2 linked regions of the Oreochromis niloticus genome follow. Each later gene encodes a partner of the first gene's protein in a complex. Links are inferred from orthologs where the notes say so. Each region holds a gene or a part of one and is shown in the gene's direction. Other genes may lie near its edges.

Region 1 (12,619 bases):
ATTTTTAATAACGATGCAGCTTAGCACACCTCAACAATCATGTAAACATAAAGTGCTGCAGGAAGAGAATTAGGAACTATACACACTATTTGTGGCTGTGCGTTGCTCGGGCCTATGCCAGATCACACCATTAGCAACAGTAGCAGCATAAATTCTTCTGTGCTTTAAAAATGTTGTATTGCGATATCGTTGCTATACCAATGCCATGGATTTGCATTCCCTAGGGCACACAACAATGAGAAAAGTTTGGATAAGACACGATGAACGCATTTCACCACTTTAGACAAAAACACACCAACAAGTACAGCCAGGCTATGACAGAGGAGATGCTAGCAGTTGATGATGTGCAACCCAAATATAAACAAATATAACGGCACTCAATACAACAGAGAGACCAAGCAGTGGCTGGTAATTACTGATGCAAGTACACAGTGGGAAAAAAAGGGCTTTAAGCAGCTTTAAGCTTGACCCACAATCTAAAATACCAGGGAGCAAATATTTTTCAGTTTTATTAAGTACAGGCTCCTGGCAAGTTAAAAGGCTAAATTATTTTAATTATTTTATATTGTTATATAATTATTATAAGTGTTAAGCAGTCTTTTTATGCACTTACTTAAAATTTCCAATTGGAAAAAAAAAAAAAAGTTCAATAACTTTGTTCCCTATATTGTCACAAATTTTCTTAAAAATTGCAATAGAATTTTAGGACTATATCACCGACCTCTAGTGTGGCTGTTTGTCATATAGCATATCAAAACATCATTCACACATTCTGTTAGGAAGCTCTGCTTACTGTACCAAACTCAAAACAAAAAAAAGAAGAAAAAAATCATTTTATATATAAATATTTCACTAAATCAGCTACAGTTTTTAAACAAAAGTGAACCATATCATCTTTTTATTCCAGTGGGGAACAGTGTAACACCAAGCATAAACACCAGTCCTCTTCAAAACACACGATTCAACTCTGATGACTAATGATAAACAATAATCATATTTATTATTAATTGGCAGAAAATGGCAACGTTTAATCCCTAGTGTCTTTTTCCTCCATCTTGACATACTGATGTTAAACAACAGTCTTTTTTAAAAACACTTTTTCAAGCAGTTGCATTTCTTGCCAGATGTGCTACCGGCTGTTGTAACAAAAGAATTTCCCAAATATTAGATAAAGTATTTCTTATTCTTAAGACCAACTTTAAAGAACAAACTCACTTTGGCTACTTTTTACCAAACAGGACCCAGAATATGAATGTTTATGCATGAAACAAAAACAGACATGTTCTCATCAGATGATGAAGGTAAATACAGACTGTCATTGTGGAAATAAAAACACCTATTTTCAACCCACCCAACTTTCTGCTTTTGCCATGTAGCCTTGAGAATTAAACAGTCATTGCTGTTTTAAATTGCAGGCCTACAACCTCACGGCACAGTGTGGTGCTGTGTCTCGTGAACTTGATCTTGTATGCTCATTAGATAAAAAGCCTCTATTTCCTAAAGCATGTGACCTCATGATTTTTCAACTGTGAACTTATGACTATCATTTAGCAGTCTTCTTGTTGAAATAGCTCCAGTTTGTAGGCAATGTGCAGTATAGTTAGCTATTACGCTGAAGAGATTAATTATGGTGACAATTACAGAGAAATCCCCCTTCAAGAAAAAAATAAAAAAAATAAACAAAAAGATTCAAGAGCATGTAAAAAGCTCAAAGTTAAAACGGGCCGCATACAACTACAAGAGCTAATCAGGTTTACTCAAGACAATGCTTAGAAGTCTGTCAAACGCACTGCAGCATTTTCAAAAGTTCAAAACAGCACCGGGTGTATTTTAAATGGGAACTATGTAAATCTGCAAATAAGGAGCGCACAAAATCAGACACACAAGCGTCACAGAAAATCCAGGTGATTTTCCGAAATGAAAGATCCTGTGCAGACTAAACATTTCACTTCTGACATGATTCTGGTGAAATATGATTCTGCAAAGTACAGAATAAAACAATGTACATGACTTACATCATAGAAAAACACCAGTGTATTCCTGAAGTAGTGCTGGGTTTAAAAAATAAATAAAAAGCTCAATACAAACATCTGTCTTGAGTCATTGAGTCTGTCTTGTATTCTATACTGCAAATGTAATGGAGTTTGTCTTGTTTTTCCATAATGGAGTTATAATGAGATTTTCCCCATTTTTTCCATTCACTTCATTCATTCTCTTAAAAATTAACCACTGCCTTATTGCATCTTGTGAACTAAGTTACACAACAAAATACTACCGACAAAAATAAGAATTTACTTCAATCAGGTAATGATTTATCATAGCCACCCACAAGGTCTTACACTCATTAAGCCATTAGAGACTAGCAGAGTGAGTTATTTTACCTCTCCACTTTCTGAACAAAAGCAACTGAAATGTAAATAAAATCCAGGTTTTGACCAGATCACTGGTAATTACCCCCTGTGAGCTGTAATAGATGTTTACTTTTTGAGATAGCACACAGTTACCACCCAACACTTCTGCAATTCAGTCTAAATCACAGCTTCTTCTTGTCACGGTGGTCTCTTACGTACACTCTCAATCACTCCGTTTTGTTTACTACCTCATGTCTGTACCCACACCTCAAGATAAAATCACCCACAAACCGGTCTTTAAGCTGGCCACAATGCAAAACAGATAACCAGTTGCCCCAAGTTTAGTAGATATGTGCAGTCATTATTATTACTCACCAACCAAAATTGCTCACTAATACCAATTACTTTAAGGTAAACCACTAGTTACGTTATTTACTGGCCTGACTTTCGTCTGTCATTACTGCCATCATTGCCACCCACAGCCATGCATTAGTGGTCTTTCTATGCTACTGATAACGTGAAGAACACAGACATAATCAGCAGAAAAGAGTATCTAGGGGAGAAAAAAAATTCACAAAATAATAGCAGTGCAGTGCTGAACTTTACTCTGAGTGTCACAAGCGCTCACTGGTAGTAACGTCAACAAGGTATTATAATAGGCTGTGAAACCTGAATACTAGTTTATCTAAGCTACTCATAACCAAATGAGCAACACATTACTGGACAGTCTCTTGATGCTATTTACATCAGACAAGGGTTACTGGTAATGTAAAAAGAAAAAGAAAAAAACTGTAAGGCAGGGAAAGTACATTAGCTTTACAAGCCACAGTCTGGGTATTGAATTTCTCTGAGTTTTAAAAGGAGAAGGAACCTCACTATGGCTGCCGCCACATAAATAGCTGGCTGTTCAAATAATCTTGCCTACAATTACACAGCACGCTTTAATTTTGCTGGATCACACAAAGGAACTCACTTATACGTCCTAATCTTTATATTTAACACAAAACCACCACAGTCAATGCGGCAAAACACCAAGCAGATCATTACAGATATACTGTATGATTAACTTGATACTTTGGGTTCTTAAACCTTTTTTCTTCCAACGTGTTTATGCCTGCTGACAAAAACAGCTTCATATTTTTGGTCCAGGAAAACTCAAGTCTGGGTGCACTTCAATGAGCTGTTGTTAGTATTCTAACCTGAAAGAGGGTTTCTAGATCATCATTACCGAAAAACATAAACGTCTGAAAATGACAGAGACACTTCAAATGCTTCATCACAATTAGACTTCCAGTTAACTACAATTTAACAACACGTGGCACTGCCATACATCTGGCACAAATTTAAACCAAAAAGTATGACTGAGTTGTACATAAGGTCTGCTTATTTTTGTCATGCCTGATTATGATAAAGTATTAACATTATGCGACAATCTTTGACTAGCATATGTTAACTGACTCACAGGCGAAACCCAATGTAACCTTAACTAACACAGCACTCACTATTTAAGTCACACGATCCTTATCGTCCATTTAGAGTTAGTTAACATTAGAACAAGCGATTGTAGTTTCCAAAGCTAAACGAGCCGACCTTGTTAAAATAAATCAACTGGTCGCCGTGACAACACTGAAAAGAGCAAACGCGTCAGTGTTGGCACTCACGCTAATAATTTGCACATAGTAACACCGCAGTTTGACTAAAAGAGAAAATTAATTCAGGTTTAATCAATCAAATATCCAAAGTGCTGGGGGAAGTACCTGCGCACGAACCGAATGCTTACATATTGGGTTATAAAGGCAAAAGCTCGCTAGCTAAGTTTGTAGCTAAGTTGTCACTTAGTATTGCGTCACATTTAGACTACCATTTCAAAGGTAAGGCTAAATAAACACCACAGAAAAATAGCCTTCCCACCACCCCGCTGCTTACCTTCACATAGAGTCACTATAAGTATAATCCAGGGCTTCTCTGAACATGTTATGGACTTATAAATCCATACCATGTACAGTTCGCCTGCATTGCTGCCATCTTGTCCTAGACGACAGGAAGGGAGAGCTCGCTCTCGGTAACGCCACCATCTCCCACATTTTAAACACTAAATAACTCTTGCATATGAGCTTCCAGAAACACCACACCGAACCCACGTCGTAGCTACACAATTCAAACGCGTCTCCGTCTTCTTTGGGCAGCGTTGCCCATCTCTGTAAAGGGTGTCCGTTACCCTGTCTAGACGCACCGTTCCGCGGGCCTGCCAGCCTCTAACATGTCTCTTTTCTCTAGGAACTGGAAGCGAATGTTTGCGAACTGACGGCATTGGCCAGTCCAGATTAAATGATTACAGAGCAGGTGCAAAGATGGGGGATTCACTGGTTCGTTTCTGGGAAGTCGGTTAGACAGAAAACAGTACACTACAATGGGGAGCTTTTTTTCATAAAAAGAAATAAGGTTTACTGAAAATTACTGACAACATACACGATAAAGACAAAGGTGTTGCGAAGGATGAGAGGAACAAAAGAATGAACACAGAGATGTAGCTTACATTTGAAGTATAATAAAACACAGGTAAAGTGTTAATGCAATACTACAGTCCCTTTCAGGTTCTGCCAGGATGAGATGGATTTATAGCTAACATCAATGAATGTGAAATACAATTTGCAACTTTTGTTTTACATATATTCAGAATAATAACAATAAAGTTTGAATTGTTAATGTGATTGCTTCATGATTTATTCCTCTAGTAAAGTGTTAGCTGCATACTTTCTATAGCCTAGTAAAGTTAGAAGAAAATAATAAAAATAAAATATGAAAATGTACAATCCAAAAGCAGCAGCTTCCTCTTTTTAGCCACCCTTCTATCATGTGTTCTAAAAATAAGCTAGCTAGCACTTACTCTAGGCTTCACATTGACACAACCCTCAATGCCCCAGATAGAAGGTATTTGCTTAACCGATTGTCCTAGCACATCTTTATTCCACTCCTGACTCTCTCTCCCCCCCCCTTTCTTTTAGTTCTTTATTTATACTGCTCACCTGATCTGCTGTGAAAAGGCCACCAATAACAGTTTTTATTTTCTAATTCTGATCCTGGAAGAGATATGAAATCTAGATCAATATGATGAAAGGTAGGACTAGTGATTCCAAAAACATGCTGACCAGCCTTCTAAGGAAATCCAAGCTGAAATCTACTGCTCAGACAGTCAGGAGGCACCCAGCTGGCAAAAAAGCTGCCCATAAGCCCCTGGTGTCTGAGTCGACCAGCTATAATGTAATCCACCAAAAGGCATTTGTCTTTGTCAGTCCTCATCTGTCCTCACCCGAGTTACACACAACAAATCACAGAGCCTGCCCGGTCAGCTGGAAAACAGGTGTGAACACCTCTTGTCTAACTTGGTTTATCTTGGGTAAACACAGCTGGAATGATAATGGGGGTAATCAGAAGAACCCACATGTGCAGAAGGCCCCGTATAAATTCCTTTAGCACTGAAGACCGAACACGGCGTTGCTGTTGCTGAAATAGTTTGTATGGACGAAAAAAGAAGAAGAAAAAAGACAGCTGTCTACTCGTGAACTGGCTCCGTGGTCTTTTGCTTTGGTCTGCTTGGATTTTGCCAGACGGTTATATGAAAGTGCGCGCTCTCGATGGTTATCGTTTGTCTCCACCTATTGGCCAGTGAGGTGGCCAGCAGTCTGCAGCACAAAACAAGCTTTGTTTTACTGATTGACATATTTTCTGCAATTTCAGTAAACAACGAATTTTTTTAAAAAAAAAAAATTATTTATCTATTTTTATCTACACAAAAAGGATTAATAAGCCTAGGGTTTAAGGTACAAGTCAGTATTTGTACAGTGACTGACTACTAGAGGCCGCCTGTAGGTCAAAATTGCAACACGGGTTTGCAGTCGCATAGGAATCACCTGAGTGTACGTGCTTGGCATACATTAGCAGATGCACATCACAGTAAAACATAATTTACCAGGCACATTTAGAATTTCATGGTATTTTATTTTAAAAAAAGAATAAACTTGAAAAAATGCAAATAGACTGTAGTTTTAATCGTGTAAACCATCTTTCTTACAGAATATAGTGTACAGAACATACAATGTAACTTTAGATGAACTGCACTCAGAGGATGCAGGGCAAAGGGCACACTGTCAAACTCGCTTTCGTAGAGATCGGCGCTTTATTTTGAAGGTCTCGCGCCGGAACTGTTATTGTTGTTGCCACTGGCGGAGCGGAAAACGAGTTTCACGCCATTTTAAGACATCGGCGAGCCGTTGAGCGGCTAGTCGCTTGATGGCAATGTGATCGTCTTCTTTGAAGCTATGCCGATTACGAACTGTTTTTAAAAACGTGTCATCGCGTTATTCTTTGAGTGTTCACACAATTGATAAAGACATTTCTAACCTAGGTTACTCTTCCAGCCATGTCGACGGAGGCAACGGCCGAACAGGTAGCTACACGCAGCGGGTCAAGCTAACCCGTGCTACAAAGAATGCATGATTTACACCGTGTTATTTTGGATAATGTTAGAAAGTTGACAAAGCGGTAGCATTTGCTTATGTTTCGACTTATTCTACGTCGATTTTAGCTAGTACTAGTAGCAGATATGTATTTTGTTTGGGTTACGACTGAAAGCTGCAAGTTTAGCCCGCCGTTCGCCATATTGGATATAAGCGTTTGTAGTAAAGTCGCTACTTTACGCTTGTTGTTAAACCAGTTGAGTTTATTTAAACACTTTATAATCTACTAATACACATTAACCGAATGTGGTCTTAGTCGCGCCATGTAAAAGGAGTTAACTTGCCAGCTAATTGGACACCGTTCTGTATTTGTAATGTGAATTACCACCCAAATACTCGTAAATTTCTCTACCTTTCACTGCAGTGTGGTTGCCAGTTATTCTATTATTGACTACAATTGAGTACTAAACCTACTTATGTATGGTCTAAGCCTCAGGATGGGCCTGCCTTAGCACTTGGCCCTTAGATTAGTTGTTTCCCAGCACTATTCAGAGGCATAACTATGTTGTCCCTGTGCCTTTGTGCTGTCTTGCAGGCAGCAGCAGAATATATCCCTGAGAAGGTGAAGAAGGCAGAGAAGAAGTTGGAAGAAAATCCATATGACCTTGACGCATGGAGCATTCTGATTCGAGAAGCACAGGTTTAGTGACACAGAGTTGTATTCCTGGGGTTAAGGAAACTGGGGGATAAGGGTGGGTGGGCTCGGGTTACAAAATGTTAGAATACAAAGCAGCCATAAAATCTTTTCCTCCCATGACTGGTTTTTGATATGTTAAATAGTATGAGGTGTCAATGCATTTTCCTTCTTTAGAACCAACCCATAGACAAAGCAAGGAAGACATATGAGCGACTTGTCTCACAGTTCCCAAGTTCTGGCAGATTCTGGAAGCTATACATTGAAGCTGAGGTTAAGACTTTTCTTTTGTTTTTAATTTTATTTAGTGTGCATGGCTGGGATTTTTGTTTTTTCCTCACATGATCAACAATGTGATTTTCACACGACCAAAATGTCTTACTTTAATGACCAATAAAGTCGCAACTCTTATTTTGGATCGCTGAGCCTGCCTACTTCAGCTGGAACTATTGGTCCTAAATTTAGTAGTTTTCATTACAAGATTGCCATCAACAGTCACGATTAATGAGTGATTGAAAACTGAAGGACATGGATTGAACATGCGTGAAGAATGATGTGAAACACTTTATTTCCCAGGCTCTTGCTTGACTTCTTAAGAGTTGTGCCTTTTTAAAAATTCAAACAAAGGGGGAATTAGTTCTAACAGTATCTTTTCCACAAAATTCTTCTTATGTTCCCAGGATTTTAAAGTACACATTTTCTGCGCCATATTTTTAATGGGGTAAAGTGCATTTGTTGCATGTTTGGTCTGCAACAGTATTAAAACTATTTTAATAGTATTGGAGTGCATTAGCCTTTTATTCACTTGTTGTGTCAATTTATTGCCTCCTGTGTCATTTCTTTTGGGTAACTGTATAAAAACATTTTAACTGTGTGGCCCTTTCTTTCTCCCCACTCCTCCTGAAGACAAGTGACCCTATTGCCTCAATGCCATCAACAGGCTTCGCTGCTACTGATAGAATGACTTTTTATTCCCCCCTCCCCAAACAAATAATTTTTGCTAACCCAATAAAATAACCTTGATACCCTTCACCTTTGCAGAAGATGACTGCAACTGATTTTAAACCAATACTTTCCAAACGTTACACAGGAAGTTGCACCAAACCATCAGACTTTAGTTTCCAGTTAAAAGGCCACTCCTGCCTTCTGGAGACTTGCTACTTTTGTGCAGTGCACCGAATGTGGGTTTATTTGAGGTTATAGTGGCTGTAGTTGGCTGGTTGAGGGGGTTTCTTCCCTGTGTGAGGTTACATCACCCCCATGTGTCCACCCCTGGTCTTCACACACTGAAATACAGGGAGAGATGTGCAGCTACCTTTTCCAAACAGACTAGTCTTTTCAAAAACGACCAGTAGCAATTTCCTTTATTTGCATCAGTAATGCATAACTGTTAAAGTCCACACTTTTTAGTCCCTCTAAAAGTATCAACAGCAAGCTATTAGAGTTGTCTACTGTTACTGTTATTATTGGGTTATTGCTTGGTAATCTGCAGCAGACAAGCCAGAGGGTTAAAATAAAACAGTTGCATCTACACATCACTGGTGCCCTTTTGTTTTTTTGTTGTTTGTCTGGAAGCTTGACTCGTAAACAAAATATTTTAATTTAAAGTCACTTTGTTTAAAAAAAAAAAACCAAAAAAAAAAACCTTGAACATATGTGGTTTTTAACTTTAGATGTTTGCTTAGGATCCATTTTTTTTAAAGCAGGAAAGTAATTATAAATCTTAAACGAATAGGAGATACACCATCTACTGTCAGCTTTAAACAAAGCTGTGGACCTACAGAAGACATGGCTGTAGACTGAATTTTTTTTTTTCCCTATACATAATATTAGCATTTACAATAAAATGCAAAGCAAATAAAATGTAAAGAGTACTGACATTACAAAATTTTGCGTTTCAAGTAAAGTAAGCTTTTACTGTGTGTAGTTTAGAGGTCAGCTGGTAGCAACAGAAGAAGGCAGGGAAGCACTGTAAGCAAGTGTCAGATTTGTTATATGGATAAGCATACTTGACTAATAAAGCTGATTTTTGAATCTGATCTTATACAATACTTTTAAAGGTGTTTTTTTTTTTTTTGTAAAGGGCAAATAGATTTTTTATTTTTTTTTAACCCCCACATTGTTTAGTCCTCTTTCCCCACCACACAGTTAATTCCAAAATCCCAAACCCAGTTTTTATTCTGGCACATTTGCATTGAGCTTTCTGTTAGCTGAAATAGCAGTCAAATAACTAAAACAGACAAAGGTTTTTTCCCCCAGCAACACAAGGCCTTTGTATACTATCGTAGTTTGATGTATGTGTTAGTAATATATGTATTTTTTTTTTATTTTTTTTTATGTTAGTGTAGAAAGAAAGTCTGTCTGGTAAGTATGTGGGGGATGATCTCAACTTTAAAAAAAATTAAAGAGTTAAGTAGTCGGAAATCCTCATAGTGTTCTTCACTTAAAGTTGATGCAAAATTCTTTCCACTGTTCTGTGTGTTAGGCACATTTTCTAAAGGCCTCGTTTGCTCTGTGCAGATCATAGCATGTCTTCTTCATAACTCACCACTTTTGAAGACCTAGTTTTAGAGACCACAGCTCAGTTGGGTTGAGGCAGCACACTGATCAAAATACAAAGTTGTGTCCGATTAATATAGGCACTGTATAGTGAGACTAACCAGCTGTTTTTAACTGTTAGACTGAGGTTTATCTATATTTTGTACCCTTACTAAAATATTTTACATGCAGTTTGTAAGAAGAGCTTAATGGGGCTAACTTACTTTGGGCTTCCTTCAGGGTGCATTAACTTTACTTGATTGTTTGAGTTAAACAGTATGAGCAGCCTGTGCTTTGATGGATAAAGATGTTTTGAGAGGGAACAACAGGGAAAAGTGTGCCTACGTTTGTTAAGTTCGTGTCTTGTTTTCTCTCAGAGTGGATCCTCCTGTATAACCTTTATGACAATGGGAACTAAATGCAGTTGAGCTACTGTGTATTCACATATGAATTGCAGATTTGCGCTACCTTAACAGCTGTGTTGAAAGATGGCAGCCAGTACTGTATTCATTTGTTGGATGGTGGACCTCAAAAATTGGAAACTTAGAAAATCCGCACTCATAAATTAGGACCGTTTTGATTGCATTTCTCAGAAACTAGGTCACCCCAAGGAAAGTTCAGTGTAGTTATCTTCAACAAATAGTGAAGAAGTTGCATTTTATTTTTTTAAATAGAAATTATGGGGCTTTACTAATCTTCTGCCTTGAAGGGCTTTCTCTACTTTAAGCTGTTTGTATAATTATATTCATGTTTTTCTTGTGAGCTTTCCATTTTTTTCAGTTAAAGTAAGCTGATAGTAAGCTTTAAAGCATTAACAAAAAGGTGTGCTGCAGCACGTCATCTCAAGTAGAATTTTGTGCTTGAAGTGATTATGCAACCTAGTGCGAAAAGGGATGTGGCATGTTAGATATCAGGAGCTTTTCTGCAACCACCTAGGCAGATACATCCAAACAAAACATCACTGCAGTGTAATTTGTGCACATTATGTAACTTCTCTGTTCCAGTATTACACACAAACAGGATTTGCATCAGCTCTAGTAAAAGCTTTTGTGACAAGGCTACCTGTGATTCTCTCACACTTAACCCTTTCAGCAAGTAACCCACCCAAATACACTACATTTTAGAAAGCTTAGACATTCTAGTATTAAATCTTATGCCATTTCTATTCCTATGTCAAAACTTGCTTAAATAACTCAAGTTTTACTTTAATGGCCAGCTTAATAATTTTGTAAAGAGTTTATGATCTTAGGTTCCACTGCCTTGGTACATCATTTTTTTTAATCAACAAAGTACAGTGTTTGGTGATAAAGGTTTTTTAACTTGAATATTTCATCAAAATCTGATGTGATATAAGTGTCCCCTAGATTTTTATTGTGTTTTTTTGAGCAGCATTTACATTCGAAGAAAAGTTTTGTGGCATGCAAAAGTTGCAGCACACCTTTGCAACTTTTCCTTATATTCTAAAGAGTATTTAACAGTATTTATTTATCTTCATATTTTTCGGAGTTCAGTTTTACTCGGTGACGCCCAGTAACAGAGGTTTTGAAGAGTTGTTCAAAGATTTACATGTCACTGTATTCTTCCTCTTTTATTATTAAAGGTTTACTGGTGCTTTATGTCTGGGTTTGTTGTTCTTTTTTTTTTTTAAAGAGTAGGAAGTGTAGGTTATTTCTTAAGCACCTTAAGACATTTCCTAATGACTGAAAAAAATTGAAAATTGAGTTCCACCGTTAATTAATTGTAGTTGACCTTGAAACTTTTTTTGCTATGTTAATGTTATTCTTTTAGGTCTAAAATTGCATTTGTACATACCAGTGCAGTTACATTGGGCCTTACAGCCATAGGAACGTTGCAGTCTTAGTATTTTTGTTTAATAGGTCGCACAAAAACAAGTAGTTTAGAATTTGGTCTACATTTCTGTGTAAATATTAACATTAATCTGTAAACTGTCTAAGCTGCAGTGTCAGGACATTGTTAATAATTTCATGACATCTCTGACATTTTACATATTTAAGCGTCCTTAAGTGCAGTTCATGTTATAGCAGTGACCCGTGCTTTGTCAGTGTAGCCATGCAAAGTATTGTTTTTGTCACCATAAGCCTAATTCATCACCCCCCCCCCCCCCCCCCCCCAAACATTTTTCACATGTTTATTATTGCACTATGGATAAAATGGATGTGCTTAAAATTTTCTACAGTGCTTATGCCACAGAAATAACAGCCTTACCTCTACATACTAATGGATCAAGCACACCTGAGGCTTTGAGCTATGTGGAAAAAGGCCTTTTTTTTTTTTTTCTCTGAATGCTGGATTTCTCAGCCTGAAGTCCAATTTCAGTATTTTTCCTGGGTAATGTGGCGCAACTACAGTGAAAATAAACCCCTTTCTAAAAGTAGTTTGTCATTCTTGTGTGAATTTCACTTTGTTGATCTTTGAGGTCGTGTGTGTGCGTGCGTTTGTGAATGCTTGTTACATTTGCATGAATGCATGTTTCCGATAAGCCATAAAAGTACAGGAAAATTAACATTGCATTACACTCTTATTTTCAGATCAAGGCTAAAAACTATGACAAGGTAGAA
Region 2 (11,768 bases), on another chromosome or scaffold:
GACTGCATATTAAGAGACAGATTGTTGACTGTATTGATCTGTTTCAGACAGAAAATAGTGAGGACATAGGAGTTATTTTTGGCAGTAGCTCTCCTTAGCTTGAACCAGAGTAAACTGGCAAAGATAGGATGTGGTGAGTTTGTTCTCAAACAATGCAGTGGAAAACAAGTAGAAATATCTAATGGTGAAATTTTCTACCATCGTTAAAGACTCAGACAACAAGCAACACATTAGATCATAGCTCTTTTCCTGTGGCTGCACACCGACCCTTCAAATTCCTACATAAGTATGGAAGACTAACAATGCCAAAACTATGACTTAACACATCCATCCGCTTCCGCTTATCCTTTTCAGGGTCGTGGGGGGCGCTGGAGCCTATCCCAGCAGTCATAGGGCGAGAGGCGGGGTACACCCTGGACAGGTCGCCAGTCTGTCGCAGGGCCAACACACAGGGACAGACAACCATTCACGCTCACATTCACTCGCACATTCACACCTAGTGACAATTTCGATTATCCAATTAACCTATCCCCACAAGCTGCATGTCTTTGGACGGTGGGAGGAAGCCGGAGTACCCGGAGGGAACCCACGCAAACACGGGGAGAACATGCAAACTCCACACAGAAAGACCTGATGGTGGAATTGAACTCAGGCAACAGTGCTAACCACCGTGCCACCGTGCTGCCCTGCCCTTAACACATGCATCCTTAATTTCTATTAATTTTCATTTGGGATGCATCACTTTTATACATTTATTTATTTATATTTATTTCTGCATTTCGAATAATTAATTTCAGGGTTGGTGACAAAATGCATCGCAGGTGGCTTCACACTACCGTACCTATGCTAACAGCAAGAAAATGTCGTTACCATAGCTACGGCACCAGATGATGGAGATGATTGGATGCTTACTACATTTTAAAGGAGCAGTCCAACATGATGTTAACACAACCTTCAGTATTCCCACACTCCCTAACAAAGCTGATATGACAGTGGTAGACTACGGACCAGTCATCATTTGGACCAAATCAAACATTTGACCTAACAATAAATAATTTATACTTTTTAACATTAGTATTTATTTAGACATATATATATATTGCCTTAAAAATGTTTATGGCCAGCTTATGTGTTCACACTGTACATGCAAGTATTTACTAGTTCTGCCAGTGCTCTGCAACTGGGCTAACCACAAAAAACATGGGTAAAAAAATAGATGCAAGGAATTTTGCAATTGTGGGTAAAAACAAACTAAATGTGGACAGGTGAGAACAAAATCAGAGTAACGTGTAGTATTTTTTAACATCCAGATATCAGATATCAGATATCAACAACCTTTTTTGTATTGTGAATGCTGACAGCACAAACATCTGAATTCACTTCCCACTAAATAACAGGGTGCAACTGACCAGACTGATACATGTGATTTGAATTCATGGTTTTATATTGTTTAAACAGTATCGGATGCTGTGATCGGATAAGTCCTTAAATCCTTAAATACTGTCCTTTATTAAAGATTGTTCACTTGTCCTCTTTTGTTTTATTCTGTCTTCACTTTACAGTTCTGTATCTTTGGTTAGGTTTAGTTAAACCAGTTCAGTATAAAAATACAAACTAATGTTGTTTTGTATTTTTAAGTTGTTCTCAGGCATTAGATTTTTATGAGTCTACTGGCCAGTTTTACAAAAAGTACTTTAAAGTGACTATGCAGTCCATGTATTTAATTACAGGCCGTGTTGGGCCTTTTATGAATTTGTTACTATGACGATGAATACACACAAGCAAATCAATCCACTGTTAACACAAAACTATTGACTACACATATATATTCAGTTTCTCTATGTGTATCTTAATATATATTTAAGCAACCAAAAACATCTCTAATGTTGCCAGTTCGGGCCCCGCCCACCAGCTACTCAAACATTCTGTTTGCAAGAAGCAGCCAACCAGAACAAAGTTGGCTTAAACAAAGTGGGAAGGGAAACTAAAATGGCGTGTTTCATAATATATAACATAATATAAACTACATTAAGGCCTGCTATAAGACACATGCGACACATGCAGGTCGCCCCCTGAGCCACAGTCGCCCCGTGGCTCAAGGGGGTTGGGATGCGTATCTGCAACCGGAAGGTCGCCGGTTCGATCCCTGGGCTGTCTGTCCTGGTCGTTGTGTCCTTGGGCAAGACACTTTACCCTACCGCCTACTGGTGTTGGCCAGAGGGGCCGATGGCGCGATATGGCAGCCTCGCCTCTGTCAGTCTGCCCCAGGGCAGCTGTGGCTACAACTGTAGCTGCCTCCACCAGTGTGTGAATGAATAGTGGCATTGTAAAGCGCTATATGAAATCCAATCCATTATTATTATTATTTTAAATGGGAGTCTTATACAGTCCAAGAACAGAAAGATGGAGTTGGAAATTAGCAGAACAGGTCCCCTTTAATGAAAATCTTTCTTTAAATGCATTAATATTGCTGTCAAATCCTTGCTGCTGATATTCTGAACATGATGTCATCACGTGGGATCAGCCGTGTAATTATCAGATGACATCTGCTGTTAAAAAACAAAGTGTTTTTCTATCATTCCACCGCCACAGACTCTAGCCAGTCTCCAAGGCAACTGGAGGCTGGTCTGCTAAGAGCATGGTTTGTGTCGACATGGCAACAAGACACCTCCTACCACGCATGTTTTCTACAGTCTGCACACTGCCCTGTAGGGCGGAAGCACAGTTTTAGTGCATGGTTTTAAAGCCCCAGTCAGATGAAACAAAATCACAGTGTGTGGATGTGTGCAGGAGTCTGCTGAAAAAAAGTCAGCAGAGGTCTGATGATGTTGATAAATTGTTATTTGGCTGTGTTGTTCAGGTTACTAGGATACAAGGTTGAGTCGAGTTTTACAGCTGATGGTCAGCAGTGACAAGAGACAAACAACGTGTTCCTTCTGCTCCTGCTGGCCTCTCAGCTGCCGACGCACAACATAGTTTAAGAGAGATGGTTGTTTTGTTGCAATGTAGACTTTTATCCATGTGCGTACAGCTGCTCTTGGGAGTGTCTGACACATGCTGAGTCACACCGTGGATGTTGGCATAACCACAGTAGTACCAAATACTTCTAGAAACAACAGCAATAACAAAAAATGTTGTTGTGCAACAAAACGTTAAATAGACATTTTCAGCCCCACTCCCCCTTCAAGCCAGCTTAATTCTAAGTGGTTGTAAACGGAAGATCTGAACAACAGGTAGGTGGGGCTTTTGTGCTCACAGCATGACCTTTGTGCCTAAGTTGACAATATCAGGGATATCTCCTCTCACAGCATACAGAGAGTAAAAAACCGTCAGAAAGTGTTTCGATCAGTGTGAAGCTCAGACTTCACTCTGAGCTTTATTATACATGCACCGATTTCATTATTTCAAGCTCTTACCCTGTTAAATATGAGCATCCACCACTGGAGCAATACAAGAAATGACAGAAAACAATCGGCTTCCTTCAAAATGTACCTACATTGCAAGATATTCAGCCTATTTCATCGGTGTTTGATGGGGGTCATTTGAAAAGGTCTACCTTTTCCATAACAGGTTTCCACCATCATCCGTGTAATCTGTATGTATTACACTGCATTTTTGGCTCTTTGTTTTTGGCCAGCACTAGCGGTGATGAACCACATTACAGGAAGTGGTAACTGAGCATTAATGTGTGTGCATGTGTACGTGGGTGGGAGTCGCTGCAGGCCTATAACCAATTACATGTTCATCTTCTCAGTAGCTAAAGCACAGCAGCCTCATGTCCCACTCTTGTTCACAACCAGCTGCCAAACACTGACACTCCTGTCAGTGTAAAAACTGCAAACCAGCATTAATCAAAGAATCAGAAAGTGATCCGAAATTTGACTCTTTTCTTTCCCTTTGTGTCTGAGATGGTGCTCTTTTGCACCCTCTGCTGGATCAGGGGTGACAAAAAGTCTTGAATGCATAAATAGAACGTATTTGCATTAAAAGTGTTAGAATTGTGTTAATAATATTGTTGTTGTTGTTGTTGTTTTTATTATAGTGGTGCAGAGGGCGGCCAGAATTAGCCATGATGGATAACCTCTTCTCCACCACGGCCAGCCAATCACAGAGCCAGTTTTTCTAATCAGTTTATCCAGTTTCCTGGTGTCACCAGCTTTGATCTTGCTCTCCAGCACACCAGCACAGCATACCAGCACAAATTAGAGACAGAAAATCTCATCTCACTGCAAATTTGGAAGAATCTCACCTTCCTTAGAAAATACAGCCTGCTCACCCGTTTCTTGTATAAAACATCTGTGTTGATGGTCCAGTTCAGCCTGGTGCCTGAGTGGATCACCAGGTACTTGCATCACATCAACATCCTGTCCCAGAATAGAAACAGACATGTTATAAACGTGCTTCTGAAGCCTATCACCATCTCTCTGGTCTTCACTTGCACATTCAGAAGCAATATAAGTACTATAACTTTTGATTGCCTTTTAAAATTCTGCTTTGTTGTTTTTGCAATATTTCATTTTACTTACCAATTTTGCTATTGGTTGTAATGATATTTTCTCCTCTGGCTGCTCCCTTTCTCACACCAACCCTCTGAATGTCCTCCTTCACTACATCCATTAAACTCCTCTCAGGTCTTCCTCTTTTCATCCGATATCCATTATCCCTCCTCTGCACATGTCCAAACCGTCTGTCTTGCTTCTCTAACTTTGCCCCCAGACTGCTCAACCTGAGCCGTCCCTTTGATATACCCAACTCTGCCACCTCCACCTCCTGTCCTGCTGTTAGTGTAACTGTCTCCAAACCACACATAACAGCAGCTAATCTTGTAAATATTTCCTTTCAGTCTTGCTGCTATTCCTCTGTCACAAATCACCTCTGACACTCGTCTCTACTGACTCCACCCTGCCTACACTCTTTTTTTCTTCACCTCACTTGTGTACTGTCTGTTGCTTTGGATGGTTGAACCCAGGTATTTAAACTCATCAAAATTCACTACCTCTACCCTTTGTATGCTCATCTTTCTATCTGTCTCCCCCTCATTCATACACATGTATTCTGTCTTGTTTCTACTGACTTTCAATCCTCTTCTCTCCAGAAGAGCTCTTCAGGCTCTCTTCCACCTGCTCTCACTATAGATCATGATGTCATCTGCAAACATCATAATCCACTGAGACTCCTGCCTGACCTCATCTGTCAGCCTGTCCATCAGCACTTCAAACAGTTAGGATGTGGATCAATCCCTGATATAATCCCACCCCACCTTGAAACCATCTGTCACTATTACCCCCGTCTTACTGTCTTAAAATATTTGTGTAAACTGGTGGTGGTCAGAGGGCCCGGTGGCGCCAGTGTCCGGCAGCCTCGCCTCTGTCAGTGCGCCCCAGGGTGGCTGTGACTACAATGTAGCTTGCCATCACCAGTGTGTGAATGTGTGCGTGAATGGGTGGATGACTGGATATGTAAAGCGCTTTGGGGTCCTTAGGGACTAGTAAAGCGCTATATAAATACAGGCCATTTACCATTTATAATGTTTAAAATGTATCAGTTCTGCAGATGAATTTGTGAAATTCTGCTGTACAAACTGACTTTAAAATGCAAGATTACTGTCAGACTTAAAATGACCCATTGTTTGGCATAAACTTTTTTTTTCACTGGCTTCTATCCACAAATGTCTTCTTTGAGAATCGTCACACAAGTCCATCTAAAACCTATACCACGACTTTCTGATGCAACCCCAAAAGGATCTTTGTCTATTAAAAACGGGGTTTGGGGTATAAATAACTGTTAATGTATAAGGCATTAGTGAAATGAGAAATATTTTACAATGTGCTGATTTAAATAATTTAGGGCACAATGTCAGATATAGTAAACTGACAAACTTAATTTTCAACATCTTTTCAATACATTACATGTTCTTTTTTATTTAACTTATTCTAATCAGCATTACCTTCATTTGGTTTCAGGGGTCAATAAACCATTAGCTTAAAAGGATTTCTAACTGTGATGTATCAGATTAAACGGCTTTGACTAGCTAAACGTTATTCTATTATTATTTTCATTTGAACAACAAAAAGCGGCATAAAGGGTGGCATTTTGTATCGGAATAGGCCAAAACCTTAGCCAGAGCCCCTGAGCAAGATGGCGGCTCCAGAAACGCATCACGCGGATATTACGTTTTTCTGTATGGTGACGTAGTGCGTAAAATACGCAGTACGTAACGGACGTTCGGATCAAGAAGCGCACTTGGAACTTTTAAGAGGGTTGGATGTTTCATGTGTTTCAGTGTTAAAAACAGAAAATTTTTAAAGTTATGTTGTTAAGTAGCATATACCGCTTCTTTTGGACAATGCACACGCTCATGGTTCCCAATTAACACATTGTTCTTTTTTAGTTCTGTAATTGCTGTAGCAACAAAGCTAACGTTGTTAGCTGCAAGGCTAACACATTCATTCATTCCTTATAACTGCCACACTGTTAGCATACCTACAGCTAACGGTGTTCGCTAGTATTGTGATTTGACATTAACCTAATCCGCTAATATAGACCTGGGGCAGGTTGTTGACATTTTGTTTTCCACTTTAGTTCACACAGTTGTCACTATTTACGACCCGGTTTAGGTGACAGTGACCCAACATGTTTCGTCCCAAACCGACTCTGAAGGACCGACAGCACCTGTACAAGCTTATCATCAGCCAGCTGCTCTACGATGGATACACTAGCATCGCCAACAGTCTCATCAATGAGGTGAAGCCACAGAGCGTTGTGTCTCCCTCTGAGCAGCTCATGCAGCTGGCAAAGATAGGTAAGAGTTGAGACCTTCTTCTGATCTTGAAAAACAGCATCTTGGGGTGGAGGATACCTAAAAGTATTTTGTGCAATTAAAACAAACAGCCGACACCGACTTCATAGCTTTTGCTTCAATTATAAGACGAGCTGTTTTTGAAGTGAAACAAATAATGCTAAATTCTGTCTTGCTTGAAGAATGCACTCTTTCACTTCACCTCAGTAAGACTTTTGGGATCATCTATCAGTCACACTCTTCTCTACTTCTCTGCTATGCATGTGTTGCTTGTTTGCACTGGTCTTATTTGACTGAAAGTGAGAGTCATTAGTGTGCGCCATACTGCAGCATCATTTACAGTTGAAGAATTTTCTTTTGCATCCTCACAAACACTCATGTGGCATAACCACAGTTTCCAGCTAAGTTAAAGCTTTTGCAAACATATGAAAAGAGGCTGACGTAGTAGACGTGGCAGTGTGAAACGCCTCCAAACTGCTGACCTTTTGCTTTTAGCTTCCTCCTATTTTTCCTGCTAGGCTAGGCTAGGTTAGCTCCAGTCTGCCACCTCTGACTGACATATGCACAAAACATGTGCTAAAAAGTCAGCTGTGTCGTAATGGCTGCAGTTCGCCCTGGACACCGTCTTTTCCCCCTCTGCCCTTAGGACAAAAATTCAGGACTATAAAGCTCAGACCGAACACACTAAAACAGCTTTAAAAAGAAAAACATAACTGATTATAGAGTGAATGACTTTCTTTTAGGGCAGATTTTTTAAGTCTTCTACTGGTGCTACTTTTACTGGTTTTATTTATTCTGTCTATCTAGTTATCTAATCTCCTCTATCTGGGGTTAAAATCTCAGATTCTCAGGCCTTTGTCCCAGTTGTTTCATCCACATCTTGGTTTTGGTACTGTATGTCTTCAGATCCTAACTACAACCTACAATCCATTACAGGGATGGAAAATGACGATAGTGCCGTTCAGTATGCGATCGGTCGCTCAGATACTGTAGCCCCGGGTGTTGGCATCGATCTGGAATTTGACGCAGACGTCCAGACCATGTCTCCAGAGGCGTCAGAGTATGAGACCTGCTACGTCACATCTCACAAGGGCCCTTGCCGCGTTGCTACATACAGTCGAGATGGTCAGCTGATCGCTACAGGCTCCGCTGACGCCTCCATCAAGATCCTGGATACTGAGCGCATGCTGGCGAAGAGTGCCATGCCCATTGAGGTGAGGCAGCTCAAACAGCACAGGCATGCTGGATGTTTTTAAGCCAGTGCACTGACATTTTTTTTCATTTCCACATACATCAGGTGATGATGAATGAGACGGCGCAGCAAAACATGGAGAATCACCCTGTGATTCGGACGCTGTACGACCACGTCGATGAAGTCACCTGCCTCGCCTTCCATCCCACCGAACAGATTCTGGCATCTGGCTCCAGAGATTACACCCTCAAACTGTTTGACTACTCCAAGCCCTCTGCAAAAAGAGCCTTTAAATATATACAGGTCAGATGAATTGTTTACAATCCAAAGTGACAAAGCTGATGTATATAAATGCAAATCTTTGTAATCCAGTTGTCGCCTTATCGATTTACCCACAGGAAGCAGAAATGCTGCGTTCAATCTCCTTCCACCCCTCAGGTGACTTCCTGCTAGTGGGGACGCAGCACCCCACCCTGCGCCTCTATGACGTCAACACTTTCCAGTGCTTTGTGTCTTGCAACCCACTGGACCAGCACACAGACACCATCAGCGGGGTCAGCTACAACCCCACAGCTAATAGCTATGTCACCTGCAGCAAGGACGGCAGCATCAAACTGTGGGACGGTGTCTCTAACCGCTGCGTGACGACCTTCGAGAAGGCACACGACGGAGCGGAGGTGTGCTCCGCCATCTTCTCCAAGAACTCCAAGTACATCCTGTCCAGTGGGAAAGACTCGGTGGTCAAACTTTGGGAGATCTCAACAGGCCGGACTCTGGTCAAGTACACAGGTAGGGAGGATTTGCTGTTATTCTAAACTATGACAGTTGAAGCATTCACAGTCACAGGTTTGCTGACGCAGAACTTACCTACAGTGAGCTACTTGCAACATTTAAAATCTATACAAAATAAATGTTATAACAAGTTTATGGCATATTCATATTTAAAATTCCAACACCATAATGATAACATGACTCAAGCATTACATTTATCTAGTGTGCATATTAGCTGTTCATGCTGAGACATATGACCAGAAATGTAGTTTATAGAAATGTATTGTTTCTGTCACGAGTGTAAAGAATATTAAAAGAGAAAAAAAATGCAAGAAATAAAGTAAAACAACACAAACTAACCAACTAAAAAAATCTGCTCTTTGGCTGTTTTAACAAAAGTTTATTTGGCACGAGGAGTCAGACCTCTACAACCTTCAGCATGGACGTCATTTCTTTTTTTAGTCCAGCGCAGAAATAAAACTTAAAAAAAACAAAACTGAAAGCATCCACACAGCACACACAGCTCCTGACTGAAGCCCAGCTGTTAACACATTGCGATGTTACTCAGCATGTATATTTCTATATTTCACACACGATTGTGTATCATATTGGCACTATTGAACAGGATTTCATGTGGATCATGTGTTTGCCGTCCCTGTGTTGTTTTTTTCTAATGATTTTTAATTTTTAGTTTCATAACTGTGCTGTGGATGGAAGCAGTGGCAAAGCTTACTGTTCTCCAGCTACTGAACGGGTGGTTTGATTAAAAATTCTTATTAGGATTTAAATTACAGAGGTTGGATCGCACTTACAGTAAGGAGCTTTAAAATGCGCTTTCTCCCACATTGTGTGTGTGTGCGTGTGCGCGTGTGTGGAGGAGAACATCCAGAGTGTTATGTTTTGCATTTTTCCCTTAAGATACCTAAATGGATATATGCAGTGTTTCATCTTGATAAATCATGTGTTAGTGTGCCATGCTTGAGTAAAAATGTTTTTTACTCCTATTTATCAGCTTTTAGGCACTGTATTGTAACGTCTCCATCAAGCATGATCATAATGCAGTGGTAGTAAGGATCCTATTTGTCAGTCAGCACTAGAGGTCGCCTTAGTTTAAAAAAAATCACTTATGATGCCATTTTGTCCGTCTTTTAATTTTTTTATGATAATGAAACACATTTAATAGTGTTTAATTAAACAAATCAGAAGGAAATAATACACAGAAAAAAAGAGACGTGGTGCTCACTTCTCAGCTCAACACTGTAAAAACCAGAGGAATGAGCTGCAGTTACAGGAGAGCCACTAAAATGACACAAATATGAGCTGAATGGACTTAACCTGGGTGCTCGTTTGTCACTTTGTCACATGGTCCACATCGCTTTGTAAATTTCACGTGTTATTCTACAGTTTTATGACGTGTGTAATGCTCTGAAAGAGACAAACCACTTATGGTAGCAGTATTGTAGCATGGGAACTATATAATGTTACAGTAGAGCCACAGTCAGTGGAAGTGAGCAAGTGTGCATGGACTTTCAAATCAATAAAAATGGCAGATTAGGGAAGAAAAAACTAAATAGTTTTTTAGAAGTGGCGTCTCAAACTCTTAATATGTGTAAAACTCTTCCATATGTGCAACAGTTCATGCTGCAACACTGCTATCTGCACACACGACCCTTTATATTTCTGCATCTCCTCACTGTACTTGTCATTTCTCTCGTCTCAACACACTCTGCAGATACCATCTGCACGATGTTATAAATATCTCATCTATAGAGGTTTTGCAGGCACGTGACCCCTTATCACTTCCCAACCATTTTAGATATGTAACATGTCAAGCGAGTACTAAACGTCATGGAGATGAGATAAACTATGGCAGTTATAAGTAAACAAACAAATGTATATTCTCGTTATGTGGAAAAATCAGGAAAGGGAGGGCTGAAGATGGATGTTAACTTACTCCCTCTGAGTGTGTTTATTGATGCTGTGAAGTGCAACCCTGGCACTCTCTCTGACTTCACGCCACACACTTTATATCGTTATGTTATCAACAGTTATACTGGATGAGATCCAAAGGCCTTGGATGCTCACTGCTATTCACAGCTGTTACTGAAACTATATATTTATTCTCCAAATGGTCATTTTGTAAAAATGTCAATTAAAACTTCAAGTATTTTTTTAAAAAATTTCTAAGAGATTTCAAAAAAACGCGCCTTCTTGTAAGTGTCTCCATTTCAACAGCTTAGTAGGAAGTGTGTCAGCATCCTCGTGGCTTAGTGCTGATCCTGTTGCTGTGACAGTGTAACATCGCCTATGGCAGGCTGTAACATTCTCCCTCTGATAGAGTCACAGGCTGCATGCAGCTTTATTTGGACACTTTAAAATCATGGAATGTTACAAGCATTCTGCTCCTGATGAAAATCATCAGGATTTTCATCAATCAGGAAAGAGAAGTTTATGATAAGTTTGTGTGGTTAAGTGCGTTTAGTTGAAAGTGCTACAAGCACAGTAAAAAGTGCATGAGGTCCTCCTGGATGTGATTTATGTTGGTCATGAAAACCATTTCTGTAGAACAGAAGTGATCAGTGCTGTCATCAAGGAGTTTTTATCACGAGATAAGTTATGCTTTATTTACATTCACCAGTATCTGTTTCAAGTAATATTTGGCCATTTAACATTGAACATTTTGAGAATAAATATATAGTTTCAGTAAAAGCAGTGAAAAGGAGCTAACGGAGGCAAAAACAGCAGTGCTTGCTGATGGAAAATCAAAAAAATCCTCAATAACTCACGAGAGAAATGACAAGTACAGTGAGGAGATAGAAATAAAAGTGTGTGTGCAGATGGTGGTGTAGCAGCATGAACTGTTCAAGATTGTTTATTTGATACGTGCGTAGTTATACAAGTACAACACACAGTGAAGTGTGTGTGTTATTTATTTTTTATTCTTCTAAGCTGCCATTGTTAATGATTTGAAAGTCCATGCCACACGTGCTCCCTCGCAGCCTGTAT

What was found.
Region 2: the proteins of cstf3 (region 1) and cstf1 are in contact, whole or in part, in a crystal structure (PDB 6B3X), measured with the Homo sapiens proteins. The link is inferred for Oreochromis niloticus from reciprocal best matches to the Homo sapiens genes CSTF3 and CSTF1. Residues at the interface, in NP_001317.1 of Homo sapiens: Tyr581, Pro582, Lys583, Pro584, Asp585, Thr586, Gln588, Met589, Ile590, Pro591, Phe592, Pro594; in NP_001028693.1 of Homo sapiens: Arg118, Glu216, Ala217, His226, Pro227, Ser228, Asp230, Phe231, Thr240, Arg242, Leu243, Tyr244, Cys251, Phe252, Val253, Ser254, Cys255, Tyr270, Ser272, Ser273, Ala274, Asn275, Gly291, Val292, Ser293, Asn294.

The regions. Positions count from the first base shown.
Region 1 is NC_031965.2:24,188,331-24,200,949, forward strand, and holds the start of cstf3 (cleavage stimulation factor subunit 3), read left to right. Parts: upstream 1-6,555; 5' UTR 6,556-6,771; coding exon 6,772-6,798; intron 6,799-7,403; coding exon 7,404-7,508; intron 7,509-7,679; coding exon 7,680-7,775; intron 7,776-12,589; coding exon 12,590-12,619. UniProt on the Homo sapiens protein: One of the multiple factors required for polyadenylation and 3'-end cleavage of mammalian pre-mRNAs.
Region 2 is NC_031970.2:37,107,309-37,119,076, forward strand, and holds the start of cstf1 (cleavage stimulation factor subunit 1), read left to right. Parts: upstream 1-6,109; 5' UTR 6,110-6,260; exon of another isoform or gene 6,261-6,307; intron 6,308-6,617; 5' UTR 6,618-6,633; coding exon 6,634-6,802; intron 6,803-7,735; coding exon 7,736-8,013; intron 8,014-8,096; coding exon 8,097-8,294; intron 8,295-8,389; coding exon 8,390-8,780; intron 8,781-11,768. UniProt on the Homo sapiens protein: One of the multiple factors required for polyadenylation and 3'-end cleavage of mammalian pre-mRNAs. May be responsible for the interaction of CSTF with other factors to form a stable complex on the pre-mRNA.